Linked DNA regions of Schizosaccharomyces pombe. The gene in region 2 interacts genetically with the main gene of each other region. Each region holds a gene or a part of one and is shown on either strand. Other genes may lie near its edges. The genes, in order: clr1, gmh6 and get2.

The links.
Region 1: mutations in gmh6 (region 2) and clr1 together harm fitness more than expected from each alone (negative genetic interaction), as found in Schizosaccharomyces pombe (one large-scale study listed by BioGRID).
Region 3: mutations in gmh6 (region 2) and get2 together harm fitness more than expected from each alone (negative genetic interaction), as found in Schizosaccharomyces pombe (one large-scale study listed by BioGRID).

What each region holds. Positions count from the first base shown.
Region 1 is NC_003423.3:2,995,091-3,003,719, reverse strand, and holds clr1 (SHREC complex intermodule linker subunit Clr1), read right to left. Parts: upstream 6,630-8,629; 5' UTR 6,483-6,629; coding exon 2,766-6,482; 3' UTR 2,584-2,765; downstream 1-2,583. Other genes in the region: ribosome biogenesis protein Alb1, read left to right, coding at 51-102, 183-334; ABC1 kinase family ubiquinone biosynthesis ATPase Coq8, read right to left, coding at 527-2,359; protein mhf1, read right to left, coding at 6,841-6,982, 7,033-7,211, 7,257-7,268; peptidyl-tRNA hydrolase Pth1, read left to right, coding at 7,654-7,749, 7,797-8,101, 8,141-8,186, 8,223-8,396. UniProt on the Schizosaccharomyces pombe protein: Regulates silencing of the mat2 and mat3 loci. Organizes the chromatin structure of the mating-type region where it also participates in establishing the 'cold spot' for recombination.
Region 2 is NC_003423.3:4,407,616-4,411,215, forward strand, and holds the start of gmh6 (alpha-1,2-galactosyltransferase), read right to left. Parts: upstream 2,092-3,600; 5' UTR 1,574-2,091; coding exon 446-1,573; 3' UTR 1-445.
Region 3 is NC_003421.2:183,436-194,746, forward strand, and holds get2 (GET complex subunit Get2), read left to right. Parts: upstream 1-5,678; 5' UTR 5,679-5,823; coding exon 5,824-6,348; intron 6,349-6,408; coding exon 6,409-6,657; 3' UTR 6,658-6,966; downstream 6,967-11,311. Other genes in the region: protein Fft2, read right to left, coding at 1-3,442; vacuolar H+-ATPase assembly protein Vma21, read left to right, coding at 4,665-4,714, 4,888-4,979, 5,033-5,157; kinetochore protein fta7, read left to right, coding at 7,295-7,410, 7,588-7,744, 7,803-7,967, 8,091-8,387; protein pdh1, read right to left, coding at 9,011-9,691; Set3 complex subunit Hif2, read left to right, coding at 11,117-11,168, 11,259-11,311.

The DNA.
Region 1 (8,629 bases), 1.4 Mb from region 2:
GATTAAATCACCTTTAAGCATTTTAAAGAAATACCTAACCAATAATTTAGTCGCTGAAACGTCTTGCTGAAAAGGGGATCCATTTAGATGATATTGCAATGGGTAAGAAATTTTTTTAATAGTGTGTTTTACAGGAAAGCTTCATTTCCACCGTCAATTATGTATCTAACAAACGGACATAGAGATTGATAATGCCAGCAAGAAAAACATTTCCAAAGATAAGTCTTTGAATGAAAATCTATTTGGAAAAACCGAAGCCGGGAAACAAAAGGATTTCATGAACATTGAGCCAACATGTAAAGGAACAATTTTGGGTGCTCCTCCAGCATTATAAGCTTATTTTTATTAAGCTTTATGGGTCTTTAGGGTTGATTGATAATAATATTAATACAATATGTTTTAAATATACGGTCCACACATATAGGGTTTCAACCAATGTGTTATCTATTTTGGAAAAAAAAAATTTGTATCATTGTATTAAGTCATCAAGTTGCTATGGTACTATGGCTTTTTCATATAAAAACATTTAATCAGCGTAATGTTTCAACATTCCAGAAAACAATTCCTTACATCTCACCTTGGCGCCAAGCTTGGCACACAAAAGGAAATGCCCGCTTAGTCTACGGTGTAATGAATAAGTTTCTTCTGGAGGAGGTTGAAGTCTTAAATCAAGCATAACAGGAATCTGCTGCTTAACCCTCGCAGTGATCGTTTGATCGCCAAAGTCGTAGACGTCAGGTGCATCAAATGCAAATGGCTCCGCAAGAGTGAAAATTGAATTTATATGCGCATCTATCATTTGAGCAGACTCATGATTATTTAAGTATCCTAGTTCAACAGATAATTTTTTGCACTTTTCTCGGTTACGATGAGCCGCCGCTAGTAAAAGTCGGCAATATTTCTTGATGAACTTTTCATCATATTCAATTGATGCTCCAAAATCTAGTAATTCAATTTTTTTTGTTTTTCCGTTATATAAGAAGTTAGACCAATTAGGGTCGGTTTGCATAAAATGGTATTCAGATATCTCTCTTAGACATTGTTTCGTCAGCAGATATCCTATATGGTTCCTTGTAGCTTGTGAATATTTTTGTTTTCCCAAAGCAATACCATGTAAGTACTCTAATGTAATTACGCTGGGTCCAGATGCTTCTCGAAATACCATTGGGACTTTAAAATCAGAATCATTTTTGAGCAACGATCCAAACCTTTCAGCAAAAGCGGCCTCTCTTTCATAATCGCATTCCCATTTCAGTTCTTTCCTTGCGGCTGCTAAACTGTTTTCTAAAAACAATCCTTTAGGAAGTATTCTAGAAGCTTTCAACAAATAAGCTAGGTTATTCAAATCCGAGTCAATGGAAGACATCACCCCAGGATATTGAACTTTCACCACAACTTCCATGTGATTAGATGCTAAACGAGCTCGATGAACTTGTCCAATTGAAGCTGCCGCCATTGGCTTTCTGTCAAATTCTGAATAGTGAGTCATCCAATTCTTTCCAAGGTTTTTAACCATAACTTGCTCTAGTTGCTTTTCTGGCATGGAATGTGCTCCATCACGTACACGCTCCAAAATTTGAGAAACACGTGGGTCAATCAGCTTACTATCCTGGAATGAAAGCATTTGACCCATTTTTAAAGCAGCACCACGCATTTGAGTCAGTTTGTTCACCAAAATCTCTACATTTCTTTCATTCAGTAACAAAGCTCCATCGTCTTTGCTGATTCCCCACATCCTCTTCATTTTCTCCCCTATAGCCCCAACCGACAAGGAAGTTGCAAGGCCTCCGTAATGCCATAGACGACTCCATTGGGACGAAGGAACTTTAGAAGAGGAAAGTATAACCGGAGACTTATTCTCAGTAGAGTAGCTTTCTTCAATAGAGGATTCAAAGTCTGCTGTAAAATTGGCATTCGTTGCAGGGTGTGATTTTGTTACGTCTTTAATACTAGAATCAATCGCTGAAGGTTTAGCAGGACTTATTTCATCTTTTTTATTTGGTAAAATCGGTTGCGAAATAGGATTTTTTATTTCTTTAGAAGATTGCTCCTGCAAATGTTTGACACCGGAGGCATCTTTCTGAACATCTAAAGAATTTCCCAAAAGCGTTCGTTTCGTATCTTTAGAAGATAACCCCAATTCTTTTATTTGGGAAGCATGTTTGACTTTACCGTTTCTGTATTTCTCCAATAATTGAACGTGCAGGTCACTTGTGGACCTTTTCGAACTGGTTATTTTCGATGCATCATACAGTTGTTTTGCTGTAATTGACGAAGCTTCAGCCTTTAAATATGATTTGGCAACATTTCGAACTGCGGATCCTATTGTTATAAGTTCCCAAAGCCCTGAATTAGCCATTTGTTCTGATTAAATAAGAGAAAAATAAGCCTTGGAATAAAAAGTGCTTCAATTTCGAATGGAAGGGCTTTCAAGTGAATTTATTTATTTCAAAAACCAGACATTTGATTATTTTCATTAACTAGCCACTGTTATAATGGTTTTATGAATCCAAAAATGATAAAAGTTTATGATGGTTCCTAGCGGCGGTTACTTCAGTTAAGCAATCGAACCATATGTATGTACTTGAAGGGACGCGTGTACAGTAAATTAAGGACAATCAATAATTTTTTATATTTACTTTACATACAATAACTATATAAATAAAAGACATAAGATGTTTGTTCAGAGAGATTCACGCCAGTTGGATTAAACCATAATTAAGAAAATAATTGTTGAGATCACGCTTGTAACGTACAAAGACGGATCATTCTATTTTTATATTTTTACGTTGCACAATAGACCCTTCGATTAGCAAGGATGGAGTAGGGACACTTTTGCTGACAGGTAAAATAAAAGAACCATGACGACCAACCCGGGCATAATTTGAATCAAAATCGTACCCAGTATTATCATTTTTACCTTTACTATCGTACAAACCCGCAAATGATTTATAAACATTCCTCTTAGCTAAAGCAGCTATAATTTTATCTTTAGACTGATTGCTTTGGGTTAGTCTGGAAAGTAAAGATGAGTTAAAACCAGGTGGAGGAACCGGATACCAATTCGCAGGAGCAGGTTTAGCTATCGGTGTACAAGTTTCCATAAAACATTCTACTTCACCAGACTTCTGTGTGTAAGCATTTCTTGTACGACGTGCTTCTTCTTTGACATTGCCATTTCGAATTTTAATGAAAGACTCTGGTGTGAACTTGAAAGGTAAATGTGAATGCTGCAAATGTTTGAACATATCTTCATAATTAGAAAAGCACTTTTTACAGTTAGAAACTTCACAATTAAGCCGGATGTTGTTCAAATGGCCGCGCAAATGCATTTCAAACTCTTCTGATGGCAAAACCATATCACACGAAGCCCATAGGCATTTAACCACAGAACAACTTTTCGGATGATGTAACAATAAAACGTGTTTTATAAAATTTTCCAACGAATGAAGATTGGCTAAACAACCCTCCCATTGACAACGGTATTCAGCATAACCTTTACTCAACATGTTAAAGGCTTTAAGTACTTTCTCCTCAAAGGGGTCAATTAACACAAGCGGTTTACAAGCCTTTTTACTAAGCACTGCTTCGTTCCCTGCTTGACTAAGGCTCACGTCAGCAACGCTCGTAGAAATATTCTCACGCAAATTCAAAGACTCGGAGTCAACGACATTGCTTTGATCGCTTTGAGCACCAGCATTAGTAGGTACTTCAACGGGCATTGATTTAGGAAGCTCAGTTGTAATATGAATTGAGGAAATCACATTTTTATCTCCACCGTCCTCTTTAATTTTGTCGGCAAATGGAATATTAGAACTTCTAAAATCTTTATCAATGGTATCAAAAGATCTTTTTGCTGGGATTTTAATTGAACCAGTATCATGGAAAGGTTGTTTTGAGGACGTCGATTCAATTCCAAAATACTCTTTGCGCTTAACAGTTGAAATATCCTTGGTTAAGTTGATCGACTCACAACTTGATAGTTTCCCAGAAATTAGTGGCTTCAATGCGCTTCTGCTTTGTTCTTCGCCAGAATTGTTTTTAGATACATCATTGCCAGATATCAGTTTGTCAAAATCATTAGTACCAGAATCTTTAGCCTGTTTTGTTGAAGACGCATCTTCTTTAAGAGTCTGAAGATTGCTGTCCTTTGAAGTAAAGTAATCTTTACGAGTTGAATCGATAGGAGAAATCTCGTTGTCACTATGAAGAAGAGATGAAACGCTAATGTGAGTAGAAAAACTATCCTTCGTCAATGCTTTAGAATTTGGTGCAGCATGAACAAAAGGAGACTTATCGGGTACAGCCATTCGATTGCTAGAAGCATCCCCATCGCTACTAATACTGGAGAGCTTAGAGTTAGATGGTTTAGGAAGCGAACAGTCCGTATTGTCACTTATTACATTATTTTGATCCACAGAAAACTGCTTTTTAGGAACCAATCCCGGACGTATGGTTTTTATTTCTGCAAGACAAACCTGAGATTCTGCAGAAGGACTTAAAAATGTGCTAGTCAATAATTCTTTTTCATTCGAATTTTCTATTTCACGTCCAAAAGCTCTCTTTGTAACGTCCAGCTTCTCAGGAGGTTTTTCCTGATCAGAATTATATATTCCATCGGCGGAAGCTGCTATGTTTGATACGTCAGCTGTTTGAGCTTGAGTTTCAGAATTATTATGAGATGTCGGAATTCCCTCAGGCAATAATTCCTTTTCATTTCTAGGCCCACTTGTCAAACCAGACGACTTAAAACTAGAATTCGTTTTCAAGACATTGTTAGTTGTGTCAATGTAGGAAGAAGTTGATGACGGTTTCACCAAAGTAGTTTCCGAGCTAACAGATTTTTGTTGTATTGGTTCCTTTTTGCTTTTAATCAAATAATTATCCTTATCAGTATTAAGTTTACTAATGGTGTCGACAGTTGAAGAGGAATACACTTCCGACGCCAGAGATTTAGTAACTCCTAACGAAGAGCTTGATTGAGCAGAGATTTCCGAGTGTTTATTTCTCGTAGGATAGCATACACGTCCGTTAACTGCAACACCATTTTGTTCACGAAGTTGAATGACTTTATCAGGAGATAAGTCTAGCTGTTTTATAGCTTTTTCAAGAGTTTGGCGGTTGTAAGCAATCTCTTCATTAAACCGCCTATGTTTCAAAAAAGAGCCATCCGGTCGCAGGTTAGTAATTGGCAATGAAGGGAACTTCGAGGACACTAACGAAAGATTATTCCAATCGGCCAGGTTACGCAAATCGCCTTTGAATTGTTTTTTCAATTGACCTTTATTTAGTTCGTTTTGCATTAGCTTTAGCTCCAATGATAAATTAAGTCTCGGTCTATCAGGTTTTGATCGAGAGAAAGACGCTGTAGAGTATAGGATTGAGGATGCAATATTATCAGGTGTTAAAAACGGAGAAACAGATGGACACACCTTTTCAGAGTTTAAATTATCAAAAAATGTTTTCTTAACAGTAGAGTTAAGCCCCTCTTTAAGCACTGCTGAAGAGCCTTGGAAACGCAGTCCTTCAAAAGGGTTTGCATGAGCTGCATTTTTTAAGGTTGAAGGGTTTCGCATACTTCCAAGATTATAAGAAGACGTATTACGGGAACTTGTGATATCTTTTTTTGAAGGTGAGCGGTCATAAAGAGATGCTGACGCGTTAACTTTATCGGAAGTTGTTTGCACCATACCATGCCCTGGCTGTTGGCTTCCCGAGGAAATAAGCTTTTCTGAACCATACACATCTAAAGAAGATATATTGGACTTAGTTATAGAAGACGGAATAGAAGAATGATTAGAGTTGACTGAGGAAGCAGTTTTCTTTGAATTATTTTTGACATTTGGAGATACGTGTTTAACCGGGCTAGACTTATTAGATGGGAGATTAGAAAAAGGACGAAATTGATGCTGATAAAATGTTTTTTGTTCGCAAACCAATCCAGGATTTTGTGATGAACTCTGAAAGTCGAATGGTTTAATACCAGCATATTTAGAATTTGATAAAATTGAAGTGTTAGGTTCTGTATTTACCGAAGAATTGGGTTTGAAATTACCATGAGATACATTGGAGACTTGTTGTTGTGTATTTGTTGAAGCCCGTTGATAAACTTCAGATTGAGCTTCCTGTTGCACCTGTAGCTTTGGGCGACCCAAAGTAGTTATCCGAGCTACTAATGTCTGTGAGTACGATTCGAATGGAGGGGGATTAATGAAGAACCCAGTTTTTACAATTTCCTCATACAATTGAACAATTGTAGATATATCGTTGACTGGACCCTCCCTGACTCGTAAAGCCATCAACCATGGACGCAAAATATCATACGTCGACAATAAATATGATAAAGCGCCAGGTGGAATAAGTGAATGAACCAGAGTTTTCACATTGAATGGAGCAGCATGATAAAAGCAGAAAAAATATAGGAGTCTGAGTTGTTGCAATTCTGTCAATGTCTCTGAAGAACTGATATCAGGTTCCGCCATATCTAACAACGAATTGCATGCAGTTGTGTCTTTAAATGTGACAAAAAGTATTTATTACCATTAATTAAATTCCAAAAGGTGGAATTCCTTGGGACCAGCCCTTCGAATTACTGTTCGCACTATTTATTGTGGTGCTGCTGCTATTGATGAAGTGAACTACGACGGGAAGGAAAGAATAGCCGGGGATGCACACTAAGATATCAAAAAACGGGGAAATTTGTTACAACAAAGAATAACATTAAATAAAAAAGAACTAATAATAAGTCTTGACAATGGTCAATCTATGTAATAGAAAGTTATTAACGATAACACAGCGTTGAAAATGAGCTATAATCACTGTACCCACAATGGATGTGCATTATGTTGTACTGTTTTCTTTCTTTTTCTTTTTAGATTTGATCGATTCTTTGTGAAAATTATTGATAATCTCATATAATCCTTCATTTCTTCGACAACATAAAAGCACATCCTGTGGTTGAACCGTTTTCCGTCCTGCATGTCTATTATTTTGTTAATAAGATTAAAATATTTATTTCCATCAAGAGCGTACTCTGCAAAAGCCTCAATGTCTTTAGCTAATACACGTATTTGTTCCCAAACCATTTCGGTAACTCCAACACAAAAAAGCTCATCTACAATGACATTTCTTGACTCTGATTCAGTTAATTCAGAAGCTGTACGATTACAAACTTCTTGTGTAACGTGAAAAATCTCTGCTTTGAATCTCTCCTAGAATACCAGTTAGCCAATACCTATATTAAAATGCATTATTACCTCCTCCATCATATAACTTTGATTACTTTTTATTAATTTTCGTAATAATACGTTACTAAAAGTTAAGATAAGTAGTCTCCTTATAATTAAATGGCTAAAACATGAAATAGGTGGTTTCCAAGTTTCTTCGTAGTTTGAAACATTGTTTTATTAATCTAAACTAAAATATTATTTTCGTGGGGAGCTAACCGTGCTAAATACCAAAGAGTAGGCCAAAACCAATCAGTTGGAAAGTATTTATTAATCTTAATAAAACCTTGTGCCTAAATAAAAATTTTCTCAGAAAAAAGTCCATGGTGCAAACACAATTCTTGGTAAGTTGAAAATTCTGTTGAGGATGCTAAAGCTTTTTTTCAATCAAAAAAAATTTTTTTTAAAATAAGTACCAAAGTTCCGTATGGCAATAAAACATCTTCCTAAGATTTTAATTGCCAGGAAAAACAAAGCAGAAGTTAACCATTGCGACCTTAAAAGAAGAGTTTCTATAAAAATTGTTATGATCCGTAAAAGTCTTTCCAAAATGGGATACTAATCCGAAAGATCTATGGTTTAGGAAATCCAGGATCAGCGTTCGTCAAATCGAGACACTCACTGGGGAAATTAATGGTGAGTATGTACGCTGACAGCATGGCATTTCCAAAAAATTGGCCTAGTACCAAAGAAAATCTCACCTTGGTTTTGTCCACCTCATACATGAATGATTCCGGGAAACAGTTGAAAAAGATATCTAATGATTTTGTGCGCAAAGTTTCGCCATTAGACAAAATCGTATATGTAGTTGTGCATGACGAATTGGAGTTAGATTTAGGCAAAGTCAAGCTTCGTTTGCCCGGAGGCTCTCACAGGTAAGTAATATCCAAAGCAATACTTATTAACATTGCTAGGGGACACAATGGGATTCGCTCTTGTCAAGAATTCCTAGGAAAAGAAGTAAGGTACACATTTAATTTCATTACTAATTCAAAGAGTTTTTACAGGATTGGATTGGGAATTGGACGTTGTGAGTCAAGGAATAGGGAGGACGTTTCAGATTATGTTTTGAGTAAATTCAACTCTAATGAAATGAAACTAATTGAAACTGATATATTCCATAAGTTTTGCAACATTCTTCAACAATTACAACTTTCAATTGAAACATAGGGACTAAGTTAAGCTTAACTCATTGCGGGTTGTTCCTTGTAAAATTGATTGTTGATTATAAGAACTATGAAGCTACATTGTTCATTCCGTTTAAATAAATTATCAAAACCCACAGTCCATCATATTTTCAAGGCAATATTGGATTAAAAGATCAATACCTTTTTTATTGCTATATAAAATTGATAGATAAATAAATCTAAGATACAACAATTCATGAGAACAAACAGAGATTA
Region 2 (3,600 bases):
ACATTCAAAACAAGTTGATCTTGGACAAAGATTCAAAAATGAATTTTGAAATTTCACGACTGATGAAATTGTCCTCGATTAGCCAGTAATTGCTTATTGAACATCCTTTTGGATATAAAATGAATCAAACTCTTTAATTAATCAATTAGGAGTGCTTATTAATTTAGTGAACATAAGCGTCGCAAGAAGATTAAGACTGAATTATCCGACTGTATCGTAAATGCAAGGTTAAGTCATAGTGAAAGCTGGGAACCATGATCATGCTAGGTCAATTGTATGCATTAATTTAAATAAATAATAACCAGTAATATAATAACACCAACCGATCGTACAGATGAATAGAGTAAATATTATATTTACAATTAGAGTTATATAGCACTGATCATTGCATAGATTAATAATAGAATAAATATAAAGCACTATAGCAAGAATAACAAGGTATTGATTAAGGTTGAGGGAAAAGGCGTTGTTCAATATATTCCTTTTCGGATGGATCGAACCAATCATGGCCTTGCTTTTCTGTGATAATCTTGCCATACTTTTCAAAATTTTGTGCACATGTCTGAAAGACAAAGCACCCAGCAAAATGAACACATAAATCACCGTCTTCATATCCCCAAGCAGGATCAGAAGAATCATATGCGTTTATTGAACGAAGAGTAACTAGCCCAACATGTTTATGCACAATGGGATGACTATATATCATATGAGAAAGGGCTTGTTGTTCGACAAATACACCATTATGTTCTTTATAAAGTGGTTCATTCCAAAAATCCAGCATCCATGTTCCTACTTCAGAATTCCTTATTAAAAAACTGCCAGCATTAATGCCATTAAAATCTTGAGCAATGATAAAATGTATATCATCAGGGTCTTGATTTTTAGGTGTTCGGAATCCTTCAGAGTCAATGCCAAATCCACTAAAATATTCGGTGTCGCGCAATAAAAGAGAATTTAGCTTTTCATGCTTCAAAATGTGATCAACCAGATTCAAATCACGATTCATAATTAAAGCATCGTGATCCAACCACCATACCCATTCAGCATCTGGATATTTTCTAATCACATTTTTAATCATGGGAATTTTAGCCCAAGGGGCAGGCTTGTCGCCAATTGAAGGTTTGTACTCATCTAAATCTAAAAATTCAAACTTAAAACCATGACGTTCTGCATAGTCGCGGCGATTTTTAATAATCGTTCTAATATAAGGATTTAAGGGTGAGGAAGGGTCATTTTGGGCATTGGAACCCATCAAAAGGACTATCTTAGAATTTTCAGGATGAGGATTAAGTGTGCTTAACTCTTGAGCTGTGGCAGTAACCGTTGGGGTTACTGTCGTAGTTTCTGTAACAAAAGACGTAGATGTAATCGTTTCGCTGACACTGGTGTGTAATGGCTCTGTGTAAACGATAGTAGTTGTTTCGTAAACTGCATTCAAAATTGAAGAATGTTCATTTAAGAAAAGTTGTACTTTCTGGTCGAGCCTAGTACCAAGGGTAGCATTCCACCATACTCCAGAAATAGCAATTATGCTGAGGATCACTGCTGGTATAACATAAGAATACCAACGCATTGTAAGTATGTAAGAGAAATTAGAATTGACCAATCCTTGGATAAATAAATATGTTCAAAGTAATGAAAAAATACCAATGATAATAAAAATGATAGCGAAGAAAAGAAAGAGCGGTGTAAATATCCTTCTTTAAAAATTGATGCAATAAAAGCTAAGATTTCTTATAAAATACTTAGCCTAAACTAAGATGTTAGATAAGTTCAGAATGTGAGAGGTAGATGTTCGTAGGCACTTCACAGCACACACATGCTCACAATAGCAGGCGAGACAATTTAAAGTACCTTTTTAATCTTATCGTTTACTAACACCAAAAAATATACCCTATTTACCCAAAGCAATAATCACCAAGTGTCCTGAAAGAGTGTATGTCAAATATAATGAACGTAGCGGTAAAGTGGAGATACAAGGTTTTATAGAGAGTGACCTATAAAAAATAAAATAAACTTTCGACCGATTCTCGTGTTACCATTCAGTTAAGTGCTTTAGAGGAAAGCTACTAAAACTTTTGATGTAGTTATAATGAAGGGAAGGAAAGCATGTACGCGTTGAAATTTAGTACATTTCAAATAAGTATATACGCTATGACTCACTATTCCTTATAATATATTAGCATAACTACACTACGTAATATGCGCTACGTTACAGTATCACTATATGCCATATGTTGGATTATCAGTTAAGATATGTTTATCAATAATTATATATAACTATCTTTATACACATGGATTCCCATTGTTAAAATATTTTAGAAAGATTATTAAATAGAGCTACATGAACTGAGGAGCGAGATTTAGTTATAAGCAGTATTAGTGACAGGTAACTATATAACCTACTTAACAGAATACCTATACTTATGGTACTTATATTATCTTCTTATTGCAATATAATAGATCACAAGGAAAACTCACTGCAGTACTATCGTTAAAACAGATACCAAAATGCATCGCTAACTTAATAAATATCGTAATGAAGCAAGAAGAATTCTCGATATATCAAACGTTTGTGATTAACGAGATTCTAAACGTTGTAAAACCTCGTTATACTTCAATTTTGATGCTTTTTCTTCTGCTGCATTGGCAAACATTTTTCTGAAGTGCTTGGATTTTTAAATTAAAATGCAAAGCGTCGCTTTCAATTTATCGGTTTCACTTTTTATTGTTGTATAATTTTTTGAGAAGAATATTAGTCTAACCTTTAGTTTGCACAATCGGAATGTAAGTATCAATAAATTAAGATTCTTTAATATATCTGTTGGAATCGTTCTTTTTTTTTTGGATGCACTACACCTTAAATTTTTAATATATATGCGATAATTGTACTCAGAAAAGCAAATGATAGCATTTTGGAATTCGCTTCAGACCTTACAGAGACTATTCAAAGTATTCTTGGAATTTAAGTTTGCAGCTTCGAAGAAAGTCGTAACTATTTTCTAGAACTGATTTTTTATTTCATGATAACGTTAAAATTTGCCCAGCAATAACTGTATTTTTGTGTACTTTACCAATAGCAATTTAGATTTTAACTAGCAAATCAAAGAAATATGGAGTTGTTGTCCTTCTCCATGCTTAATATTGCAGCCATATTTATTCTTTACTAACTCATCACCTAGCGATGTTTCGATTCCGTGTCTTTAGCTAAAAAATTGTTATGGTATAAAGATTCACGGATCGGCCGTTAAAATTATTCAATTACTTAACCAATAGAAAGGCCCCAGATTCGATTGCTATACCACTACATATTCGTTTACAATAATACAATATTACGGTTGAAGTATTTTTAAACAGCCAATCATTTTTTTTATTTTCAAAGCAATTTTGTTTAAGAGAATAAGACAGAATATTATTTCATAGTAAAAGTATATAATTATATTCTAATATACCGATATTGTAATGACGATAAATTATTTTTTAAACTAATTTATGGCATGTTGATAAAGCCAATGAAGGGACTGAGTAAATTGTATACCTCAAGCAAAAATTCGCTAAGCAAACGACAACTTCATCATAACCTGATGTTGAGTATGTTGT
Region 3 (11,311 bases), on a different chromosome or scaffold from region 2:
CCAAGTCAGTTTTCTCCACAGAGTTCGGTTGAGAACCCTCTAAGGGAACTCCTGTATTAGTCTCCTCCGCATCCGTTTGTTTGGAATTATTACTGCTGCTGACCTTGAACTCTCCATCACTCTCGTTTCCCGTAATTTCAGGTTTTGTATTGTTGCCATTATTTTCTTCGTCAAGCATGTCTTGCACAAGACGTTCGCCAATTTCTTCTCTATCCTTACCATCAGAGCTTAAGCTCATGTCAAGCGCAAGTTTGGTGTTCGCTAATTTTTGAATATATTCTTCAATCGTATTATCGGTGATTAACCGAATTACCGTTACCTCACGGACTTGTCCAACACGATGAGCACGGTCTTCAGCCTGCAAATCATCGAATGGATTATAAGAGCAGTCATACAATATCACCACATTTGCACACGCTAAATTAATTCCAAAACCGCCAGCTTTTGTTGAAAGAAGGAATACAGTAACATCTTCCTCTTTGTGAAATTGATCTATAATATCCTGACGTACTTCAACTTGTGTTGAACCATCCAATCGAACATATGATATTTTCAAAGTATCCAGCACCTGTTCCAAAATATCGAGCATCTGAGTAAACTGACTAAACAAAAGGATCCTGCTTCCTTCTTCTTTCATTTTAGGAAGTAATTCTTTCAACACTCGAATTTTACCTGAATCCATCCAGGGATCATCCTTCAACGTATATGACTGCAGCGTAGGGAAACTGCGGCAAAGTCGATGCAATTCAAAGTCAGACATAACTTCCATATCTTCATATATATATTGTTCATTGGCATTTTTATATTGTTCCTCTTGCATTATATCCTTAGCCATTTGCTTTAACTTCTCATCGTCATAAAATTTGCGAAAAAGTAAGGCATGATTTGCAGCTTTGCGAAGCTGCATGAGAACATGACCGGCCGATAATGACTTGCCATCGCTTTCTTCATCGTTCTTACTACGCTTGTTTCGTTTATCGTCTCTCCGAAGTTGTTGATTTTTTTGCAAAGCAGCATATCGATTGTAAATTTCCAACTGGTTTTCTGATAACTTACAATGTTCAATAATCTGAGTCTTTTTTGGCAAATCATTAAGAACTTGGTTTTTCCGACGGCGAAGGACAAACGGAGTCATCATAGTCTTGGCACGGCTAATACGTTGCTTAGAAAGTAAGGCTTGTTCTATATCCGCATCTGCGGTTGGTTTAGCTTTAAAAATTACATCCAAATCGTCCATGTCACTGTCAAACATATTAGGAAGAATGAAAGCGAGCAAGGAAACTAATTCTTTGAGATTGTTTTGTAAAGGAGTACCAGTCAGCAGCAGTCTAAAGTTAGCGTTAAGGTTCATGAGATGTTTGTAACGCTCCGACATTCTATTTTTCAAATAATGACCTTCGTCGTAAACGCAGACATCAAAGTTTTGATGTTTAAGAAAAGATCGGTCCTCTTTGTTGTTCGTAGCTAACTGATAAGTAGTAACCAAAATGTCATACTTTATTTCGTTTTCTTCTATTGCTTCGCGAATATTTGCTCGCTCTTGTTGACTTCCGTAGTAAGGTTCCACGCGGAGGCTAGGGCAAAACCGGGCAAGTTCCCTAAGCCAATTTTCAAGCGTTGAAGAAGGGACTACAACTAAATGAGGTCCGTGGTGTCCTTGTTCCAGAAGAAGTGCAAAAAAGGCGACTACTTGGCAAGTTTTTCCAAGACCCATCTCATCAGCCAAAATCCCTGACAGTTTCTGTTGATAAAGCAAATGTAACCAATTAACGCCAACGAGTTGATAACTTTTAAGCTGGACGTCACTTGCAAGAGTTTTGGGTTGCTCTGTAACAAATTTAGGGAAATCACTGTTATCCGCTGCCTCGGTAGGAACCGACTCCATGTCAACGATGTTCAGTTCACCATTAGACATTTCTAATTTAATTCCCCACGAGGCCATACCTTTAGATATACGATTACCAAGAAACTCGCATTTGGCAATTAGATTATCAATTGCATAATATCCTTCCATGGTTTCCATACAAGCATTGACGATTTTTTGGCCCATAGGATTTTTTTCACGACGCCTTCCACGTCTACCAGGTTTGCTAGGAACGTCATCAGGATGTTTGATGATACAAGCTTCGGCAAGTGTCTGGAAAGGACGATGCTCTAAAAGGAGTTTCGAGTGGGACAAAGGGCAACTAGCAGTATCAGAGAGTTCCTTAGCAGTACTGCTGTTTATAAAATTGAGTACAGTTCTCTCTAACGCCGATGTATCCCTGTGAACTATGGCTTCAGGCTCTTCTTCTGAGTCATAAAATTCATCTTCTTCAGTAGTAAGTTTCTTTGATGCATTGCTAGTTTTTCTGGTATAAGAAGGCATAAGGGAAGCTTGCGTAGAATCATTTGGCATTTGTATATATTTGTCCCGAATCGAGCGCTTTTGGGATTGAACCGTACGGTTAGAGCTTCCATAAGTAGGCATATTGCTAGCAACGGGACTTTGCTTAAACCTTTTATGCTCTTGTATTGGAATACCAAGGTCACAACTCAAATATTTTTGAGATAAAATAGAAAGTGCTGCAGTCTCATCCCACTTAGTTTGAGCAAGTGTGTTGATCACCTGGTGAATCGGAGCCTGGGGAACAAATGAGCGTATCCATTGAACAGAACGAATAATAGCATTAGGAGAAGTAGTGGTTACAGGAGGAAGCTCGACAGGTGGAGCGGGAGGTGTAAGCAAGGTATTGTTGACTGGTGGGGTAGTCACGGGATTTGCGGAGGAGGAACGAGATCGCTGAGTAGAGCGTGGAGCAGAACGCGCTGTGGAGCGTGCAGATGAGCGCGAGTTTGAACGAACGTAGCTGGGTAAAACATTATTGACGGGTTGTGCTGGAGGCTGCGCGGGTATTGCCGATGTAGGATTGACAGCACCGATAGGATAGCCGTTATTATAAGGGGAACTATAATGTGCATTATAACCACCCTGAGGTATTGGAACAGTGCCTGGATAACCAGATGGCATACCAGGCATTGCTGCGGGAATTCCAGCATTGGGCAAAGACGCAGTATTGTAAGAGGGCAGGGGGTTATAAGAAGGGACTGGCTGCGATGATTGTCCCACGTATGAATAACCAAAATTGTTGTTGATTGCAGCGGGAGCATCTCTGGAATAAGCATTGGACATTGGAGTCGACGCATACGAAGAAGTTTGCGAATAATCAGTATTCATAAATTGAGTGTTCTCAGAAGTATTATACATTCCACCACCCATGGAATTATTCACCCCGTACATAGCGGAAGACTGTTGGACAGGGGGCGTACCATAGCTTTGAGGATTTCCGTATGAAGAAGGCAAACCTGTTTGCGAAGAACCATAAACTTCCGATTGAGGATTTTCGTCGGAAAACTTTCGTTTCCCGTTGTCCGATAAGTAATTTGAATTGTAAGGAAGCATCTAATTTAAAATCACATTAAGTCTTCTGTATTTATATATCAAATATCAGAAGTAGCACGTTTGGTTCGTGTTTGGGGCGTGCCTGACTCTTACGGGAGTACGCAGAAAAAAAATAATGGACTCTTTAAATCTGGATATGTCTTAAGTTAATTAAAAAAATTTACTGGATTTTAACGGTAATTATCGCAATGCCGTATATACTTTAACCTGTCAGGAATAGTACACTACGCTATGCTACACTACGTTGCGTATCACTATATGTCATATGTTGGAATACTAGCTAAGATCCGTTTATTGATAATCACGGGTAACTATCCGTCTATATACATAGATACCCGTTGATAACAACTATTTAGAAATATTATAAATAGCGTTACAACTGAACCTCGTTCCTCAGTTCAGTTATGAGCTATATTAGTGATAGGTAACATTATAACCCAGTTAATACAATACCTATACTCAGTTGCTACTTATACAACCTGTGTATTGTAATATAATAGACCACAAGGAAAACTCACCGCAGTTCTACGTATCCTTAAATCAGATACCAAACTGCGTAGCTTACATAACCTAGGCTTGATCTTATCGTTATATTAAATGCTTTTTATTACCTCAAAAATCTACTTCAACAGTTTGATTTCAAGCTAAAATGGTAAATTTTAATGCATAAAATATACCCATTGAGTAATCTATTTGCTCTTTTTTTTATACCGCTCGTCCGCTGATGAAAACGTCAACATAGCAATGCTTGTATCAAGTGAAGATGGATGGTGTGAAATCACTTGTTATAACAGAGGAGTAATTGAGTATTGCTTTTTTGATCACCACTGTTTGATACACCCTTGCCTGCTAAACAATTCAATGTGAGTTTGTAAATTGCAGTTTTATTTATGATCATCGACCAAGCCCTAACATACATTTGTTACTCGATTTAATTTAATTAATTTAATATTTCAACAAGGAACTATGAATTTGGAGACTTTGTCGCCCAGGTATTTTATTATATGTAAACACAAATTAAGCAGGTCGCACGTATAAGTCTACCGTATGTTATAAACAAAGATAATAAATTTTAATAAGATGACAAATAATTTCAGGGACTTTCAACATACGAATATCAATTGTCTACTTTTCATGTTGACAAAACTTTGACCTCTTATAAAGCAAGGTCCCAATAAATTAGGTCTCCACCACCATCAACAACTTGCATTCGTGATTTAAAATGGAAAGGAAATCCCAAGTTTCAGATACAAATAATAACTCTATACCTACGTAAGTTTATTAATTATTAGTTTATTTCTTTACGCCGGACTGCGAATTGGTTTTAAGAAATTCCATACAACCTTCCACAACAGTCTATAATCTTAGGTCTCTTATATTGTTTATTCCTTTTATATTCTTAACTAAATATGTTGGAAATGAAAACTTACTAACTTTCGTAATAGTAATGTTCTGCTTAAGTTTGTGGGTTTTAGTGTCGCATTATTTACATTACCACTTATAACTTATTTTTGGACGTTGAAGACTTTATTCAAAGGTATATACTAATTGTTGAATAATTTTGATTTTTACTGATAAATTTTGTTTTAGGATATCAAACATTGTACGCAGGATTATCTGCAGCTGTAATGGTCAATATTATCTTGGCCTTGTATATAGTCGCAGCCTTTCGCGAAGACTCCGGGACTCCCAAGAAGGATATAAAAAGGGAATAATAAATTTTCAGTAACCATTTTACTACTATTTTGAGTTATGACTTTTGCATTTCAATTCTAAATCAAATTTTGAAGCGGATTTTCCTTCTGCCAACGTATTTAGGTGAATCATTCGATGTCTTTATTTTTTTTCGTTAAAAGTATCGCAAAATGAAAGACTTTAGCTGGGACTATCCTATAATCTACTGGATTTTGCATGTATGTCTATTGAATAAGGTGCTACCACAAAGCTGTTGCTGGTGATACTACTCCTTTTTGTATCTGAATTAATGAACGGAAATTTTTTTGTTTAATTTTTCGCTAGTCTGTAATGAAAATATGTGTCTGTTCTTTAGTTTTTTGTAGTTTCCCAAAAAACACGAATTAGCAAAATGCAATTGATATGGCAATTTCAACCAATTTTATAATTAAATTTTCCTTTTTATAATATAAGGCTAACATGTATGATTCTTATCAAACATAACAGCTGTAGGAATTCAGTATTCTTCTAACACTTATGCATCACTATTTTCTCTCACCCCAAACCCCTCGTATATTGGAAAGTTGTTCAAGTGAGCATTATTGATTTTTTCCCAATATAATATTGATAAAAATATATATCTGTAAAAAAGTTTGGTGTTAATTATTTATTTTATTCTGTTTTCTGCTGATTCAAAGACTTCGAACATGTCGACTGCCAGTGAACAAGCTCGACTTAGACGTGAACGTCGACTGAATAAAATCAAACAAGGAGGTGCATCTAGAATCAATCAAATTTTGGGACAGAATTCAGATGACAGTCAATCCGATGTTCGAGCTACAGCTTCCGAGGAAGCTGTACATTCTGAAACTGCAACACCAGTAACGCCAATGTCTTCAGGATTCATGGAAAAGAGAGATGATACCTTCAATGCTGATCAAGTGGAATATCTTCCTTCCCAAGATTACCATAATTTGGAAAGTTCGCCTTTTAAACTTCAGTGTGATTCTCCATATAATGTACCACCTGAAAACATGTTTAATCAAAACCCTGATTTTGCAAATTTTTTTCAAGCTATGTTACAATCCGCAAAGGAGGGATCTGATACAAATTTTCAAGGTGAAAACGAACAAATTCCTCAAGCTACAGCTCCTTTAAAAAACTTAGTTGAGAAATATGCTCATCTTTTGGCAATTTCTATAGTAGTGATTGTTTGTTATTTTAAACATTTGGTAAGTCCTCATCTTCCTTTTTTGAAATTGTTTTTTTGCATACTAATATATTTATTTCAGCCATTACTTCCGTGGACATTTACTGTCGAAGCTTGCTTGTTCTCTATTCAATTTGTTTTGGACCGTAATAATGGACCTTCTTATTCTCTTCTAGCATCTCTGGCCTCTCAGCTTCCCCCTCCCTATGGAGCAATGATCCGTCATACAACAAGTTATGTTCCGTATTTCACACAATTGATTACAGATGCGTGTATGACAATATTTGCGTTAGGTTTATGTTGCTATTTTTATCCGTCGTTGGTGTATTAATAGTTGTTAATTTTCAGCATTTACTATTTATGAATCTTGGTTTTGCTTCGCAAATTGGTGATCGATTAATTAGCATTCAATTTTTGTTTAGATGAAATAAACTAACTGATTAAGCGAGAAAGACTTTTCAAACCCTTAGGAATTCAATTTTATATTATCTTTTCAACATCTAAACGATTTATATTCTAAAACATACTGCACTTCATTTGAACTGCTTTGCAACACATGCCATATTTACGATTGTCGGTACGTTTTATTTATTTTCTCTTTTAATTCAATGGTAGCAATAGTATATGATTTAAAAAGCTCTGTTTATTGTAATTGTAGTATTAATTAAAAACAGACTACTTAAAGTAATTTCTGGGATAGCTGTGAAAACATTATAACTATGATTTTTAAAATCTTTTATCAACTTATTATTGAAATAAAATAAGTAATTGAGAATTGGCTTGGTTGACTGTATATATGTAAAACAACTTCGTCCGAAGCGCTACAACAGCATGCAAACGTTGAAACGGCGAATTCTTGTTATAGAGAAATTTTTCATATAAAACCATACGTACATATTTTGCTATTTAAGTTCCAGATTGCTTAAAAGAAAATTGAAGTGGTAGCACCATTTTTATAAATATATGCAATGGAAATGAAAAGGCGCGTTCGCGCGGTGCGTCGAGACCAAATTCAAAAAAGATGGCGTCCATTAGAGGATAAGCAGCGCCAAGAAATAATAATTATTTTTAGGACGTGTTCAAGGTAAGTAATTGAGAATCATGTTATTGCTAAAAGTGCTTGTGCTTTTTAGCGCTTACTTGTGTACTGAAAGGGAAATCAAAGTTTGCTGTTGATGTTTACCTGGAAAAGTCTTTTAAGTACTTTTCCAAATTTTTTTAGTCATTATGTGTACGTATGCTAACTGTGCTATCGTAACAGATTGGTTTTGAATACAATAAAATCAGAAACAAGAAAATCTTTGGCCGAGGAATGGTTCATGAATATACTTTTAAAAATCGAAGCTCCTCTGAGAAATTTGCCTGTACCAAGGAAAAGAAAAGAGTCAATACTGTTCTCTCAATTACTTTCTTCGAATGTAAGTTATTAAGTCTTGATACGCATACATACGAAAGAGATATGACTAACATTTTTAGATGCAATTGGAACAGCAATTATACAGTGATTTGGACCATATTAACGTACTTCAACAGGAATTGAAGGTTGAAACTGCTCGTTTGGAGAATGAACAGAAATCTTACGAAGAAATGAAACAAAACATGGCCATAAATAATTCACGGCTTGCCGATTTAAAATCTAAAGTAAGTTTAAAACACGAACAGGCGAATGTTTTATTCAAGACTTCATCTTAACATATGACACAAAATGAGTTTTCCATTGTTTCAGTTATGTAAATAATCAAGCAATCACTAATATTTTCTTAGCTTCACCCTTATTTGAAGAAAGGCTTAAAGATATCCCATGATAATTTTTCAGACTCCAACGATTTCTCGTTCCAAAAGAAACTGAATACAGAAGATTCTAATACTTCTAAAACCTCTACATTGGATATGTATAAAGAAAAATTAAAGCCATTTACGAAAACTATGCAAATCCATGCAAATAAAACTGTTCAATTAAGTCAAACTATACAAAAAGCTACTCTTCTTTTACAACGACTAAACAATACAAAAAATATAGGCCTAAATAAGTCATCCAAACTTAAGATAAAGAATATCTAGACATAGAAAAGCTAGAGCTTAAGACTTGATGACTTCTACATGTTAACATATAGTCCCTGGCCCCGAACCATGACCAACCCAAAAACTGGATTAAATCGTCCTTTAATATAAGCACTCAGACTAATTGTCCCGTCTTCATTGAATTCTCACAAATAGTGTGACGACAAGCCAACTTAATGGAGTGCTTGGTAGATTCCAGCAGCTACGGACTTAATTCAATTAAAGGACTTTTTGCTAGAGTTTAGGGTAGGGTAAGCATAAAATTATAGTAGCATTATAGTATCGATTTTGAAAGTAATTTCTTTTGCTTTATTTAATCATTAAAAGATGCCGTAAAGGATTTTGTGCCTTGCGGAATTGTCAAGAATTGTAGTATTACTCGTAAACGGTCGTGATTGTTATTTAACAGTAGTAACTGCCAAAAAAGACTTAGTTTTTTATTTTTAATAAAAGCCTTCAATATTATTTAATAAATAGACGCAAAATCATAAGCAAACTGATTTTAAATTCATTTGCGCATGCAGTCAATAATTATAAAAGCAAAGCAATACACGGGTCTTAGATAGCTAGTCAAAACAATAGCAATGCGTAAAAAAGTATTGATTTTGATTAAAACGGAAAGTTCATATAGGAAGCTGAGTATGACTTTCTAAATGGAAAAGTTCTTGAACCACAGGATGAACAAACAACACATATAGCTCAGAGATGCAAGTGCCTGAGACAGCTAAGCAGAAATAAGTCCATGGAAAACTTTGAAAAACATAAAATAAGTGAATTGAAAGGAACAAATAAATAAGGTATTTTGACAATGGACAGAGAAATTTGTTTGAAGATTCTTCCTTTTTACACGAATACAATTGGTACCAAGCAGTTAAGATCCCTGCTTGAATTGCGGTCGTACTTTGGATAATTGCGACCAACAAGTAATGTGAATCTGTAATTTTGTATGCAATAAAGCAAGGTATCAAGACAGCAATGTTTGGAATCACTGTTAAAAACTGACAGAAAAGCAAGTACTCCTTATGACCCCATGAACGTTCAATTTCAACGCCATACACCGAGAGAATGAGAATACTTGAAAGTAGCGTAAAAACATTAGCATCAACAAAACTTGTGGTAATTATTGTCCATGGAAACAAGAACAAAGCATTTGGAACCAAATGAAAACATAAAAGAAAGAAAGTTACAATAGAACTCCTACCAAACACTTTGATGTAGATGCTGATTCCAAATGATATTGCAGAAAACAATACCTCTAGGATAAGAAGCCTTTTCGTAACCGAAAACTTGGAGAAATGATTCATTGATAAATTTTAGGTAAAAAAAAATAGTAAAGTTCTCGTTACCGTAAAAATCATCGACGTCAACAATTTTGGTCTCAAAGTAAACAATACCAGGATACCTCTAAGTAAATGGTGCAATCCGAAATAAAATTTCTAGCTGTTTGCATCTAAAAAATAGAAACTCTTACGAAAACTGAATTGGCCAAAGATCGCTTCACTGGAATATAAGCATAATAAGAAATTGCCTATATGGATTAATACAGTTAGTAAATTAGAAAATGAGAAGTTGAGATAAGACACTGCACCTGGTTTTTTAATGCCTTCTCAATAATCTCATTTACAGGGACATTCGGTAGCGGGTAAGATGATAGGTAGGTCATGGCTCGACCAGATTATAAACATCCAGAAAATTACATAACTTTGTAGCTTGCCGATTCTAATAGAAGATAGAAAAGAAGTTTAAACTCGCTGATATATTTGTTTGAGCACAACCTGGTTTATCAAGTAACTATGATCGGTTCGGTTGAGGAGATAAACGCATTCAAAGTTAGAGTAAATAGTAAAGGGAGAAATTAATTTTTATTATATTTGGCAGTTTTTTGAGGGAAACCCTGATGAGAAATTGCTGCATATCGCTCTGCTGGGTTAAAACAAAGTGTTGATTCTCTTAATCGAATAATGTCTTAAATTATTAGTCATAATTCAAATCATCTTTTCCTTTCTTAGAATATAGTGAATGCATTGTTTAGAGCGGTCTTATATCAGAAAGAAGCATTCGCTTGACCTTGAAACATTTGTAATAGAAAATCACATTTCCTTAGCATGATAAGCGGACCCTGAATGTTCAAATTATTCAAATAAAATAGCAGTATATTTTAGAAATAAAAAAACCAAATAAGGCTCCTACCACTCTTGTATGGAATGTTGAGTACAGAAATAGCATACGAATTCATGAAAGTCAGAAAATACAATCTGGCTGCCAACTCCTTAACACAAACTTCTAAAAGTGAATTTTGATTGAAATTAAAAGTCGAAGAGAACTATTAGCATTGCCGTTTTAAGTTGTTAAGAGACCGACTTCAAAGAGGGAAAACTTTACTGAAATTCCTCGGATACAAAAAGTGGGCACTCGATTATTTTTATTTTGATCAAGCGCTGTTTAAATAGTAACCTACGTGCAAATAATAGAGCAGGAAGATTTAATCCACAGTTTCAGCCATCGCACGTATCTAGTTAAATTTCGGTAACTAATACTTCCACAACTACTAAAAACCGTCTCAATGGGAATTCGTCGACAATCCTTCAAGTTAAATCCGTATTGACAGGAAAAGAAAGAAAATAGAAGACTGTTGAGGTTTTAAGTGAAACTCGTTGACAGACCTTAAGATTTGACTTTAATTTACGTGGGTAGCTTGAACCATTATAGATTTAGAAATTGTGGAGGAAATGGATACGAATCAAGTTAATTATATAATCTGGAGATATTTGAAAGAATGCGGTATGTTAAATAGTTGGTTTTTGTGAATCATAGTCGCTTCATCTCTCCTTTTTTTCGGTTTCGTTAACATTATCGTGTTTTTTGTTGTAGGTTATTCGCATACTAAATTTGCATTTGAAAGGGAAACAGGCATCCAAAATTTA